Linked DNA regions of Astyanax mexicanus. The protein of the gene in region 1 purifies or fractionates together with the protein of each later gene. This does not show direct contact. Links are inferred from orthologs where the notes say so. Each region holds a gene or a part of one and is shown on either strand. Other genes may lie near its edges.

Region 1 (7,239 bases):
TTTTTGTACTACTGATTTGTGCCTTGCGAGAAGTGCAATAATCTTGAAATAAACTTTTTACTGGAAGTAGACTGGCTTTATATAAAGTTCTGTAAAGTTTACGTTCTTATAAATCACTCACTTATAGACGGGCAGAGCACAGCCGAGCATCAGGAACATCAGGCCGATGGCTCCACCGAAAGAAAGGCCGATCAGTGCTGGAGAAACAGAGAAGAGAAGAAACAATGACTGTTAGGTTATGTTCACATGGCTGGTCAAAGTTTCCCAAATCTGAGGAAAATGTATGATTAGAATAGCACTGCTGAGGTAAATGTATGATTAGAATAGCACTGCTGAGGTAAATGTATGATTAGAATAGCACTGCTGAGGTAAATGTATGGTTTCCACATATTTGGTTCAGATCACCCTTTGCAAGCAAACTTTTAAAATGTCTTGTGTATTTTGTACTGAGCCTTGGCTGAAAGTTTTATTTTGTGTGTTTTTAGTTTCAGACGACGCTGGTTTTTATTATTGCTTTATTAACTGCTATCAGTGCTAATTTTAAATAAATACACAAATGGATTTTATCAGTACTGCAGATCTTCTGTACCTGGAAAACTTTTCTGTACAGAAATAACTTCTAACCTTAATCTAACACAACTAATCCAGCTAATCAGAGCCTTCAGCTATAGGTACAGGAGAGAGAGACACAGAGAGAGAGAGAGAGAGAGAGAGAAGGGTAGAGAACGAGAGAGAGAGAAGGCGCAGGATCTCAGCCAGTTTAGAGGAGGGTCTGTATAACTTAAAAAACAAAACAAAAAAAAAACAATTGCAAAGTTTTCTTATTTTGTAAAGTTTTGTAAAGTTTTGCATTGTATTGCTGCTCTCTTTTTTTCTGAGGTCTACCCACAGATGTTGTTTGATGTTCTGGTTGGAAAACTGAGGACTGTGGTAGAACTTGGAACAGTTCTTTATATATTTGCATAAATAAATTGATGAAATTACTGTAGAAATTATAGGGATAGACACTTTTCTATCATCCCCACGATATTTAACCTCATATCGCACAGCACTAAAAAAAAGAGGACATTTAAAAGAGCTGATTTATGATTTATGAGTTTAAACACCCATTCACATTAACACAGAAGGCAGAAACGTGCCAGACTTCCAGAATCCACTGTGATAAAAATCACATCTGTATATTTGATTTTTATTAAATACTTGATGTTATAAAGCTTTTATCCTGAAGAAAATGTGTGCAACCAAATCAAATGAGATTTTTTGAGAGGCTTAAACTACCTTAAATTCTTAATTTATCACGTTTATTATCTATATATCTGGATTCTGAGCAGTGTTATCATCACACATCACATTATTTCAGTATCATACAACCCATAATATGACTTTCTGCACCCAAAGCTTACTGAGAATTCTCTCATATGATCGGTCATATGATCTGCCCCCACTGGGACTACAGGGAAGGAGGCAGACTAAATAAATACACTGTAAAATACACGAATTTAAACTAAATTTTACAATAAAACAAGTAAATGATGTTACATGCACTAAATCACCAATGTATTTAATATATATTAATCTATTCATTAAATAATTAGGTAATTAATGATTGATTAATAGCATTTTAAACATGTTTACTGCATCAGCTCACACAGTTGCTCTATGTTTCTACATTATCTGCTTTATTTAAAGCTTTAAGTGCTATTTATTACACATTACTACAGTAATATATTTAAATATTATTAATATTCATCTAAAAGTACTAATAACAACAAAGCAGCACCGCACTGCAGTCATGACGAAGCTAAAGTTGGCTCAGTATCCTAATTCCCCAGTTCCACCTTAAAACACCAGTATATGCACTGTAAACTCGAGCTGTCCACAATACAAAGCGCTGCACTATTTAAGGTGGACCGGTAATAATACTGAGAGTACAGCGCAACAACTCAAGCTGCATATTATTGTGTAGCGTTATAATCTAACCGCGAGCTGCAGCGTCATATAATAATAATTAAACTTAATAAACTCATTATTGTTAAACACAATACATGTTCATTAACATTATTTTGTTTTGTCCTCATGACGAGGCTAAAGTTGCGCGAGAATGCTAACTCTGCAGTTCCACCTTAAAAGCTGCTGTGGTCACACAGTGACGCCCGAACTGTTCTAATACAAAGCGCTGCACTATTTAAGGTGGACCGGAAATAATAGAGCTAACTGAAGTCAAATATTTCTGTGTATAATCAAACCCTGAGCTTCAATGTTGTATAATAATAGTTATATCTAATCATTAATGATAAATACATGTTAATTAAGGTGATTTGTTGTCTAAAAGAGCTATAAATCCAGCAGAACTGAGCCCCGGAGCCCGTTAGCCCGCAGTGCTAACCCACAGATACCGTTAGCTCCAGGAATAAAGCGGCCGCAGCGCTGCAGCAGCTACAACTAAATAAATAAAGCGCTAATTCACTGCACTTTAAACTGCAGATAAACAGTAATAATCCGCTCAGTTTCTCACCTTTAATCCCAGCCATGATTTACAGCGGTAATTTCAGGAAAGATGTAAAATCTCCGGCCGCGCAGTCCGACCCGACAGAACACACTCACACAGTAACAATACCGCGCCTGCAGGGGGCAGCAGAGACCCGCGCGCAGACCGCAGATCTACAAATCATCTTTAGGTGGAGGCCTCATGTTTGTAGATCTGCGCTGCGTGCAAACAAAACTCCAAATATTTACTGTAATACTGTATAAGCCCAAAAAGATCAGCAGCGAATTATTTTCATACTATTGATACTATACTACCATACTATTGATTTTTATTCCCGACTCTGTATTTTAATTAACTTTAATTATTAAGTAAATTTCAATATTTTCACGTCATTATTTATAAATCTCTATTTTTTGAAACACTAAAATACTCCAAAAAAACAACTCAGTATCTCAGAAATAGTTAAATAATTTTGGAAAATAATGAAAGCAATTTATTTTTTAAGAAAAAAAACTTATTTAGGTGTCGGGAACTGGATTCAATAGTAAAACAACAGTTTAATTTAATAAAATATTAGAACATTTGAAAAAAACGTGTTGTTTCTGAGTTAGTTTCCTTTACTGTGTATTACTGTATTGTTTTTATTAAAAAATATATGTAAGTATATTTGTTTTCTTTTTTCTATGTATTTCTATCGGCGTCTCTCTCCCCTCCATCACGGACATTTACACCACCCGCAGCATCCACAAAGTAATCAGCATTGTGAATGACCCCACTCATCCCTCACACGAACTGTTCTCCCTCCTGCCTTCGGGAAGAAGGTACCGCAGCATCCGGTCCAGCACGACCAGATTCTGCAACAGCTTCTACCCCCAAGCCATCAGACTCCTCAACTGCAGAGACTGAACTGATGGTTTTTCTGTACATGCGCACACACTCTTACCCCACTTACCCCAGAAAATGGAAAGCACTAAAAACCCTACTACCTCACTGGACTCTATTGCACACTGTGTAATAGAGTAATTACTACCTCACTGGTCTTTTTTGCACACTTTTTGCACACTGCATAATTTGCACACTGTCTTGTTATTTATTATTCTTTGTCTGTATTGTGTTGTATTGTCTGTCTGCACTTTTTGTACTGTTGCACTATTGTTCTGTCTACACTGTGTTTATGTGCACCATGGTCCTTGGAGGAACGTTGTTTCGTTTCACTGTGTACTCTGTATATAGCTGAAATTACAATAAAAAACACTTTGACTTTGACTTTATTTGCATGCCCAGTAGGGGGCGGAATAAATCGCTGTGTGGAGTCTGCCTTCAGTTTTACTGAAGAATGAGAAGATAAAAAAATAAAAGTCTGTTTTAAACAAATAAATATAACAATGACGTGTTTTTCGCCAATGTATAATTATACTATTCGGCTCTGTTATTTTTTCCTGTTATAATAGTAATTATAAAAAGCTGAATTATGATCTGATTTTGCAGCGATACGGGGACTTTTATGTGGTATATGAGTTGTGAGCGGTTCCGGCTTGTGAGCGTGTGGAAGGATGGATTGTTTTCCAGAGAATATTTTAATAGAGATTTTATCTTATTTAAGTATCAGAGAGCTTCTCCGGTCCGCCAGGTAATATACCCTCACCTGTACTTACCTGTACACTCACCTGTACACTGCTTTACACTGTACACCATGTATTATTACAGGGAGTGAATGGGCTGCTGTACATCACTGTGCTGTGTTTACATTTCTAACAGAGCAGCTGTACTGTCTCTTACCTATTTAATATTATATTTAATCTTATATTTAATGTTTATTTAATGTGTGTACTCTGTCTAATGGTAAGCTGTGTATCTGCTGATGGTTAGAGAACAGTTTAGCCTATAAAGATCTGTGTTGCTGTGTCTATGGAGCTGTTTGTTAACTTGTGGTTTCTGAGGCTGGTAACTCTGATAAATTTATCCTGTACAACAGAGGAAACTCTCGCTCTTCCTTTCATGGGATGGTCTTGATGAGTGCCAGTTCCATCATTATAAAGTTTTTGATATTCTTTGCTGTGATTTCACTTAAGGATGCTCTCAAAATTCTTGAAATTTTTATTTTCTTTATTTAGTTGAGTAGTTGTTTCTTCTCATAATCTGGATTAGAACATTACTCAAACATTCACTATTCACTGTATACCTGTAACTCTACCTCTTCACTACTTTACTTTAACTGATGCTCTCAAACACATTAAGAGACAAGAAATTCAAGTAATTAACTCTTGATGGGTTCAGCACAGCTGTTAACTGAAAGCCTGAATTCCAGGAGAATTCAAAGGTGTTTCCAAACTTCTGACTTTGAAAAAACCTTTAGACATTTATTAACAGGATCTTTATTATGCTCATACGCAGGGTGTGTAAGCGCTGGAGGCAGCTGGTGAAGGACCAGAGACTGTGGCGTAATGTAGATCTTTCAACATGGAAAGGAGTAAGAGCTTCACTATTCTATTCTATTCTGTTTTATACTTGTTTTAATGTATTCTGTTCTTTACTTACTCTGATAGTTTCAATTTCAGACTGCAGACCGAATGCACGAAAAAATGGGAGGGGTAGTTTGGAAGAGGCACTAGGTGATGTATGGGTTTAGGGGTGGGGCAGAAGGGAGAGCTGATTGGCTGAGCTGCAGCAGCAGCAATGGTGCCTCTAATAGTGGTAAGACTCAGATGGTTGGACGTCACCAGGGGGGCACTGTTATTTATTTATTGATTGATTTGCACCATCCTTACCTATAGCATAGATAAACCTGTGAGGGTTCAACTATGCTATAGGAAATGACCCCAAAAATTATTATTGTTATTAGTATTATTATTATTATTTTTTATTTACAAATTTTAAGCATGACTGGTTAAGTGTGTGTGTTATTAGATGACGTCGCGTGTGCTGTGGGTGTTGTTACGGCAGTACCTGGGGCGTGGGCTGCGGTACCTGCGTCTGCGTGGGCTGCTGCTGTCTGCGCGGGCCGGGGCGTTCCTGTCCGAGCCCTGGCTGCAGACTCTCTCCTCTAAATGCCCTCGGCTGTGCCGGCTCACCCTGCTGCACACCGACCTGCGCGGCCTGCGCAGCTGCTCCCTCCTCCCGCACACCTTACAGGTAAACCGCTCACCTCACCCACCACACCTGCAGCTCAGCGCAGCGCATAGTCCTACATTTCCCATGATTCAGTTCACACCCGTCACAGTGTTTAGGATATATTTAATATTAATCTTTCGCTTTTCACCAGGTGTTGTGCTGAATCGTGTCTCTCTGCCAGAATGCGTCTCTATTCTTCGGGCACAGGTTTGTATACTGCTGAGAGACGGATTTCAGCACAACACCTCTTCCTTTACTTCTTCTACTGTTTAATGATGATGATTACCCGAATCAACTTCCTGTAAGTGAATGTGAATGAAGTCCGAACCGTCCAATAAAGTGTTTATCTATTTTGCTTTGTTCTACTAGATGCTTAAGCATATATTTAATAATTATTCATGATGGATACTAAATAATATGAAGTGGATCCTGTATAACTCATATGGGGGAATCATGAATAATTAATAGTGGGTAGTAAATAATTCATAGTGGATATTAAAGAATTTGAATGGATATGGAATAATTCATATTTGGTATTGAATAATTCATAGTGGATCCAGTATAACTCATAGTAGATATTGAATGAATCACAGTGGTTCCTGTATAGTTCATAGTCTATAGTAAATCATTTATAGTAGATATTGAATAATTCATAGTGGATCCTGTATAATTCAAACTGAATCATGTATAGTTCATAGTGGATACAGTACAATTCATATTGGATGATGCATAATTTATACGGGAGCATGTATAATTCATTGTTGATAATTGATCATTTATAGTAGATATTGATTAATTCATAGTGGATACAACAAAAATCATAGTAGGTACAGGATAAGTAATAGTAGATCTAAATAATTAGTTCTGGATCATGAATAAAACATAGTGGCCACTATATAATTCACAGCGGATGGATAAAGCATTGTGTGTGTTTATTACAGGTGCTTGAGCTTCGTAGCTGCGAGGTCCCTCCCGGTTTCTTTACCCAGAATCCCCCTGGTTCACCAGAGCTGGACGGCCCCAAGCCGGCCGCGTCCAAAATCCACAGCAAGCCTCCGAAGTCTCCCTCCTTCTCGGGCATCAGCATCGAGACGCTGGTTTTGGACAACGTCCCGTCCTTCACCAACCAGCACCTGCAGAGCCTGAGCTCGTGGGCGCGGCTGAGCCGGCTGGAGCTGCGGGAGCTGATCCGGGTGACGGCGGCGGGACTGCGGGCGTGCGCCCCCCCCGGCCCCCAGGCCCTCGCCCGTCTCCGCCACCTGGAGATGGACACGGGGAACCGGCAGCAGATGGCGGCGCTGGGGCTGGGGGAGGGCTGGGCGGGGCTGGAGGGTTTGGGGCTGGGCGGGCGGGAGGTGAGCCCCGGTCTGCTGTGCCTGAGCCGCCTGCCAGACCTGCGCTGGCTGCGGCTGCGCAACTGCAGGCTGACGGAGATGATGGTGCTGCGCAGCTGCCGGACGCTGAAGGAGCTGCACCGGCTGGAGTTCTGGCAGGTGGAGTTTGTGACGGAGGGCAGGGGTGGAGGAGAGGCGGAGGGCGGAGGAGAGAAGGAGGAGGGGGAGCGAGAGAGGGAGGAGCCGAGCGAAAACGACCCGGTGCCGAACCTCCGCCGATCGCTGGGGACCCTGCTGCCCAAGTGC
Region 2 (7,255 bases), on another chromosome or scaffold:
AATTTTACTCTCTTAGGGCTCCGGCAGCTGATGGCACGCTGCATGACCGGGATTCGAAATAGCAATCTCCCGAACCCACATATATTTATATTAATGCTGTCATTATTGTATTATTCACAACTTCTTTGTATCATTGGGAAAGGGGGACAAAAAGAGTTGCGAGTGTTAATAAAGGACATGAACTCTAGCTCCATATTCCGCATTCACAACCTGGAAACAACCTGTAAATAAAACCTGCTAGCAAATCTGTGTGTGTGTGCATGATAGACATTTAATCCGTCTATTAGCACAATTAAGAAGTTATCTACCTTCTGAACTCATTATTAGTAAATCACTATCACCATGTTTATATTGCTAAATACAGCTAAAAATTGCTAATACAACAGCAGATTCTGTAAAATGAGTGAATTACAGGAATAGGTTGTGGTCAAATTAGATTAATCACACGCATTAACTTCTGTCTGTTTCTTTTACAGAGGAAGAAGAGGAGGAGGAAGAGTGTAGAGGTGAGGATGCAGACGAGGGTTTGGGATCAGGACTGACTCATGTTCTCAGCAATGAAGGCCTCAACTACCTGATGTATCGAGCTGATCAGGCAGAAAACACAAACAGCAGCAGCAGCAGCAACAGCAGTCCCACAGATTACTTCTCTACTACAGAGGACAGATGAAAAAAGGATAAAAGGACTGACCAAATATATATTTAGCCTGTAAATAATGAAAAGCTTTGTTTAATACTGGACTTTTTGACCCTCAAACACTTTTTAAAGAGAATTGAACATGCCACACGCTCCCTAAGTATGTATTTGTGCCTATCGAATGTTTTCTAAAATGAATTAAACATGTCAGACACTCCCTAACATTTTCTCTTCATATGGGATGCACTCTAAAGTGAGCTGAACAAATCATACACTCCCAAAAATATGTTTTTGTGCTTATCAGATGTTTTCAAATGTATGTTAAACATCAGACGCTCCCTAAAGTAATGTTTTAGGAATATTGTTTGTTGTTTAATGTTTTTGTGCCTATTTCATGTTTTCTCTGCATGTATACTAAAGTAAATACCTACGATATGTTTTCGTGCATATTGAATGCTTTCTAAAGCAAGTTGAACATGTCAGACACTCCCTATGGTAAATATGTGTTTTTCACTGTCATGCTTTCTAAAATAAGATGTTTAACACTACCTAAAATGTTTTTTTAAGTAAAATATTCTTTCCAAAGTCATATGAACATGTCAGACCAAGATATAAGTGTAATTTAGAACAATCAAAGAATGTATAAAGATGTAATTATGATATTTTTTTAATAAAATGTGGACACCCATGTTTAAATATATTTTCATTTATATGTCAGAAATGTTTTAAAATGTTAAAATGTTTTTTTTTATATATTTCTATCATACATTTAATTTAGTGAGTTGAATATAACAGATACTCCCTAATATATATTTTGTTCCTATTTTCCTATTTGCTTTCAAAAGTGATTTGCACATTTCTGATACTCTTAAAAGTAAATAGTTTTAACTGTCAGATGCTTTCTAACATGTCAGACGCTCCCTAAGCTTGGTTTTCCTACCAGTCAGATGCTTTCCTAGCTGACTTATACATGCCAGACCCTCCCTAAACTGTATGGCTTAGTACCAGTCAGACGCTCCCTAAACTGTGTTTTTTTCTGTCAGTCAGATGCTTTCTAAACTGACTTGAACATGTCAGGCGCTCCCTAAACTGTCTGTTAGTTTGTACTAGTCTGCAGTGACGCAAATCTGATTTTTTGCTCAATGTGGCTCAGATCAGATTTTTTTATAGCTGTGTGAACGCATTTTTTTTTTTTTCAAATCAGAATTGATTCACTTTGGCTACTGTGGTAGGCCCCTGGGGTTAGGGGCGTGACCACTGTGACCCGGAAGGAGGAAGCTCACAGAGATACACAGACACGGGGATTAAATGAACTCAAATCATACCTTTTATTTGCTTTTAACGCCCTCCACCACACCCAGAATAACTCAATTAAACATAGCTACCGCCCAGTGGGGCTCTAGAGTCTGTAGAGTTACGTAGTTTACTTTTACATGCTACATACGAGTCCGTGCAGCCTCAGCCCTCAGCTCCCCAGTGTAAGAGTTCTTCCCAAATGATGGCGGAGGCTGAGTATATATGCCTGTCTCAACTGGCGGCTCAATCAGCCCTCATGCGGGCCAGCTGAGACAGGCATGGCTTTGCGCTCTGGCGTGGGGCGGACCCACAACTCCCCCGCCTCCTCACGCCACACTACGTTTATATTACAAGTCACATTTTGTGAAATATATTTTTTTCCTATAAGCATATATAAGCGATATAAGCGTAATGCAGGGCACTCAAAGAATGTATAAACATGTAATTATTATATTTTTGTAATAAAAGTGTGGACACTCATGTTCAAATGCCTTTTCATTCATATGTCAGTTTTTCATATCATACTCTTTATTTAATGAATTATATTTTCGTATCAATGACACATTTTTTTGTATATATTGGATGTTTTTATAAAGCGAGATGAACATGTCAGACCCGTGTGTTTTTTGTACCAGTCAGATACTTTCTTAACCGACTTGAACATGTCAGACGCTCCCTAAAGCAGTGTGTTTTAGTACCAGTCAGACGCTTTCTTAACTGCATTGAACATGTCAGACGCTCCCTAAACTTTATGCTTTAGTACCAAACAGGCACTCCCTAAACTGTATGCTTTAGTACCAATCAGACACTCCCTAAACTTTTTTTTATACCAGTCAGACGCTTTCTAAACTGTCGTGAACATGTCAGGCGCTCCCTAAAGTGTATGCTTTAGTACCAATCAGACACTCCCTAAACTGTATGCTTTAGTACCAATCAGACACTCCCTAAACTGTTTTCGTACCAGTCAGACGCTTTCTAAACTGTCGTGAAAATGCCAGACGCTCCTTAAGCGGTGGGCTTTAGTACCAGTCAGACGCTTTCTTAACTGACTTGAACAAGTAAGACGCTCCCTAAAATCATGGGGTTTGTTGTACCCTTCAAGTGCTTAAACTTAAACATATCCTTAAATGTATTTTTTCATACCAGTCAATCGCTTTCTAAACTGACTGGACATTTTACTGTACAATATTTTTGTTCTAAAGATGTTTATTGCTTATTACATGTTTTCTAAAGTTAAACTTGTCAGATACACCCTAAGATTGTTTTTTTGTATATATTGGATGTCAGACCCTCCCTAAGGTCTGTGCTTTAGGACCAGTCAGACGCTTTCTAAAGTGACTTCACCATGAGGCTTTCCTGACTGGAACATGTCAGACACTCCCTAAGATGTTGGGGATTGTTGTACCATTCAGACACTCCCTAAGCTATGCTTTCTTATCAATGACTATAATTTTTTTATAAAAAATATTTCACAGTCATTGTACCCATCGGACGCTTTCTTAAGTGACTTGAACATGTCAGACGCTCCCTAAACTGCGTGCTTTAATACCCAACGCTTTCTAAAGTGATTTGAACATGTCAGACGCTCCCTTAACTGTGTGTTTTTTCGTCCCAGTCAGACGCTTTCTAAACTGACTTGAAAATGTCAGACACTCCCTAAACTGTGTGAATTTCGTACCAGTCAGACGCCTTCTAAACTGACTTGAACATGTTAGACACTCCCTAAACTGTGTGTTTTTTTTTTCGTACCAGTCAGACGCCTTCTAAACTGACTTGAACATGTCAGACACTGCCTAAACTGTGTTATTGCACCAGTCAGCTCTCCCTTAACTGCGTGCTGTAATACCAGACGCTTTCTTAATTGACTTGAACATGTCAGACGCTCCCTAAACTGTGTTTTTGCATCACTCAGACGCTTTCGAAAGCTCCCTAAGCTGTGTGTTTTCGTGTACCAGACGCTTTCTAAACTGTTTTGAACTTGTCAGACCCTCCCTTAACTGTGTGTTTTTTCGTCCCAGTCAGACGCTTTCTAAACTGATTTGAACATGTCAGACGCTCCCTCGGTGGGCTGTGTGTCACGTGATTTGCTAGAGGAGCAGCATGGCGGACACATGCGCCGCTCCTAAACAAACTCCGGCTGTTTTGAGCTCGTAGTTCAGCGCGTTATTCCTGTTTTTAATCCGGTTACAGGCCGGGAGAGCGCCGTTTAACGCTGGATATCGGATGTAATTGTGAGGAGAGGCATGGACGAGGGGAATAAACTGCAGTTCCCGTCTCTCCCTGCGAGCAAGGAGGACCAACTGGTAACGTTTACTGTATTAAATCACATTTCACAGATTTCAGCTCTAATATTTACTTCTAATTCTCACTATTAACACTAATATCAGCACTTCAGGTGGTCCTTTTGTTTTGGCAAGTCATGCAGCTCGCTATTTTGGGTGGAAGCCACGTAACTAGTGCAGGGCTGAAGTTGCATTCCTCCAAATTCTCCAGTCCACCTTAAATGTTACTGCATTTAAGGTGGAATGGACTGCATGCCAACTTTAGCTTTGTGATATAGTATCTTAAAGTGAAATGGCTCACTGTTAAAAAAAAAACATCAAAGCATTAAAAATCTTAGAGATTATGTAGGAGTATTACAATGCACATCTTAAAACTGGGGTTGCCAGAGTCATTCCTGGGATCCCCCACACTGTGCATAATTAAGGTTAGTTAATTTAACGTATTGTGTGTAATTATAATGGTTCACTAGTATAAAGGTACGATCTTAGAGATGCACCCCCTTGTACAGCAGGTGGAGTACCAGTCAAAAGTTTGGACACACCTCATTCAATCCCATTGAATGTGTTTTAATTTCTTTTTTTGATTTGTTACATTGTAAAAATTAATATAATATATTAAAGCTAGATCAAGAATTTCTTGTCTCTTAATAAAGTGTTTGAGAGCATCAGTTAAAGTAAAGTAGTGAAGAGGTAGAGTTACAGGTATACAGTGAATAGTGAATATTTGAGTAATGTTCTAATTCAGATTATGAGAAGCAACAACTACTCAACTAAATAAAGAAAAAAATAAGTTGCTATGAAAAGAAGAATGTCAAGAACTTTGAAAATATCCTCAAGTGCAGTCACCACAAAGACCATCGAATCTATCTTAATGATAAAACTGGCACTCATCAGGGCCACTCTGCGAAGAAGCATTTATATAAGAGTATCTAAAAGCTTCTTCACAAAGTATTTTGGTTTGTTTAACACTGTTTTTAAGTTACTACATGATTCATTATGTGTTCCTACATAGTCTAATAGATCACTTCACTATTCATTTATAATGTAGGAAAAATCTAGAAAATAAAAACATTGAGTGGGAAGGGTGGGCAGCTTTGACTGGTAGCTACAGTGCATCTGGGAAAAATGTATAGCTCTTACCTTTTTCCAGTGATTCTTAATTACAGTTTAGATTTTTTGTTCTTACAAAACAAATTGAATATGTCAGTTGAGTTTGTTTTACCCTTCAGATGCTTCTTAAGCTGTGTTTTCATACCTGTCAAGTGCTTTCTAAACTCACTTAAACATGTCAGACACCCTCTTAGGTATGGAGGTTGGTGTTGGTTTGTGGTACCATTTTTAGACGCTCCCTAAACTGTGCTTTCTTTTTTTTTTGTACCAATCGGAGGCTTTCTTAACTAACTTAATCATTTCAGACCCTCCCTAAGATGTTGAGGTTTGTTGTACCCTTTAGATGCTCCTTAAACTGTGTATTGTGTACCAGTCAGACGCTTTCTTAAAGCAGCACTAGGTAGGATTTCTTTGATTTTTGATCTTTTTAAAGAAGTAAAATTACAGCTTGAAACTCACTGCAGCGCTGCATTGAGGTGTAATAGGAGGAATAGCGGTGCTCTCGTGTCTGTGCCGGAGCTCCTCTGAGCTCAAACCAGACTCTGTGAGTTTTCCGAGGCGGCCGCGACCAACGCTCGCGAGAACTGCGACCTGCTTTCCGACCTTTAGTTCTAACAGTTCTACAAGGACTACTGGTTCATTCTTTACAAACTAACATACAGACACTGGCAGAAGCTGGAAAGAGACCGAATATGTCTGTGAAAGCAAGAAAACGAGAAAGAGAAACTAATCCGTCTGAAACATTTATTACACTCTGCAACTGTAGGGGGCACAAAATCTCAATCCTACATAGTGGAGCTTTAACTAACGTAATAATTTCAGACACTCCCTATATAAGACAGTAAAAAAGTAGAACCCTGATGTGATAATTAGGGGTGGGTGATATGGCACCATATTTCAGGGTATAATATTGTTCACCATATTCAGAAACGTTGCCGATATTATTGCGTATGATACGATATGACACACCGCTTGTGAGACCCTCCCTAAGCTGTGTTTTCCTATCAGTCAGATGCTTTCTTTTCTGACATGAACTTGTCAGATGCTCCCTAAGCCTCCCTTGTGATGGGCTATTTCATATGAATGGAAATTGGGAAATTGGCCATCCTAACTGATCTTCTCCTCTGTTTCAGGACTGGTCGTATCCAATGAGGAGAGAGATGCAGGTGAGTGAGCTTACTGTTTTTAATCCCTTATTTCCTGCTGTTTATGGATTTATTTTTTAATGCATTTTGTGTTGATCTTGTAGGAAATCCTCCCTGGCCTCTTTCTGGGTCCCTACTCAGCTGCAATGAAGAGCAAGGTGAGATGATTTTTTGCTGAAAGACGCTGGTTAAGGTTGAGCTTTTGTTGGTGCATCAAGAGTTCACGTTCATTAAATTTGTCTTTGCTGTAAATTGAATACAGTGACTGGATGGTAAAAGGACTGATAAGGGCAAGATAAGACCTGCATAAAAGGTGCATTGGTGCATTAATCTTACTTAGGTTTAACAAACAGGAGCTGCATTTCATGCCAGCTGTGAAGCATGGGGGTGGATGTATCATGCTTTAGGGTTTTGGTGCTGCTAGTGGAAAAAATGTATTTAAAAAAACAAAAAGTATGCACATAGTAAATTATTACTGTATAATGCAATGGGTCCTGTATTAGAGATCTATAGGCGAGTTGTTGATTTAGGGTACGTCAGTGTGTCTTTGCTATCGAAACAATGGGAAAAGTACACCCTGCCTGGATTGGAATACGCAAAAGGCATGTACTAATTCTCTTAATTAATCATGGGTGTGGTTAATTTTGGACGTAATGTGAAATAAACCAATCAGAGTGTCACTTGCTCATCATTCCCTTTAAGAGTCAGGTGAGCTCTGACTTTGGTGAATTGCTATTTTACAACTCTTCTCAGCAGAGGAAACTGAGCTGCTGGTTGACGCTGTG

What was found.
Region 2: the proteins of F-box/LRR-repeat protein 12 (region 1) and styx purify together in Homo sapiens (affinity purification with mass spectrometry; 4 studies listed by BioGRID and IntAct, with this or other methods). This does not show direct contact. The link is inferred for Astyanax mexicanus from reciprocal best matches to the Homo sapiens genes FBXL12 and STYX.

The regions. Positions count from the first base shown.
Region 1 is NC_064426.1:629,662-636,900, reverse strand, and holds the start of F-box/LRR-repeat protein 12, read left to right. Parts: upstream 1-3,993; 5' UTR 3,994-4,041; coding exon 4,042-4,118; intron 4,119-4,882; coding exon 4,883-4,958; intron 4,959-5,395; coding exon 5,396-5,620; intron 5,621-6,540; coding exon 6,541-7,239. Other genes in the region: leprotl1 (leptin receptor overlapping transcript-like 1), read right to left, coding at 122-197, 2,516-2,531. UniProt on the Homo sapiens protein: Substrate-recognition component of the SCF (SKP1-CUL1-F-box protein)-type E3 ubiquitin ligase complex.
Region 2 is NC_064421.1:3,369,075-3,376,329, reverse strand, and holds the start of styx (serine/threonine/tyrosine-interacting protein), read left to right. Parts: upstream 1-3,985; 5' UTR 3,986-4,176; coding exon 4,177-4,236; intron 4,237-6,458; coding exon 6,459-6,491; intron 6,492-6,574; coding exon 6,575-6,628; intron 6,629-7,255. Other genes in the region: ros1 (proto-oncogene tyrosine-protein kinase ROS), read left to right, coding at 477-670. UniProt on the Homo sapiens protein: Catalytically inactive phosphatase. Acts as a nuclear anchor for MAPK1/MAPK3 (ERK1/ERK2). Modulates cell-fate decisions and cell migration by spatiotemporal regulation of MAPK1/MAPK3 (ERK1/ERK2).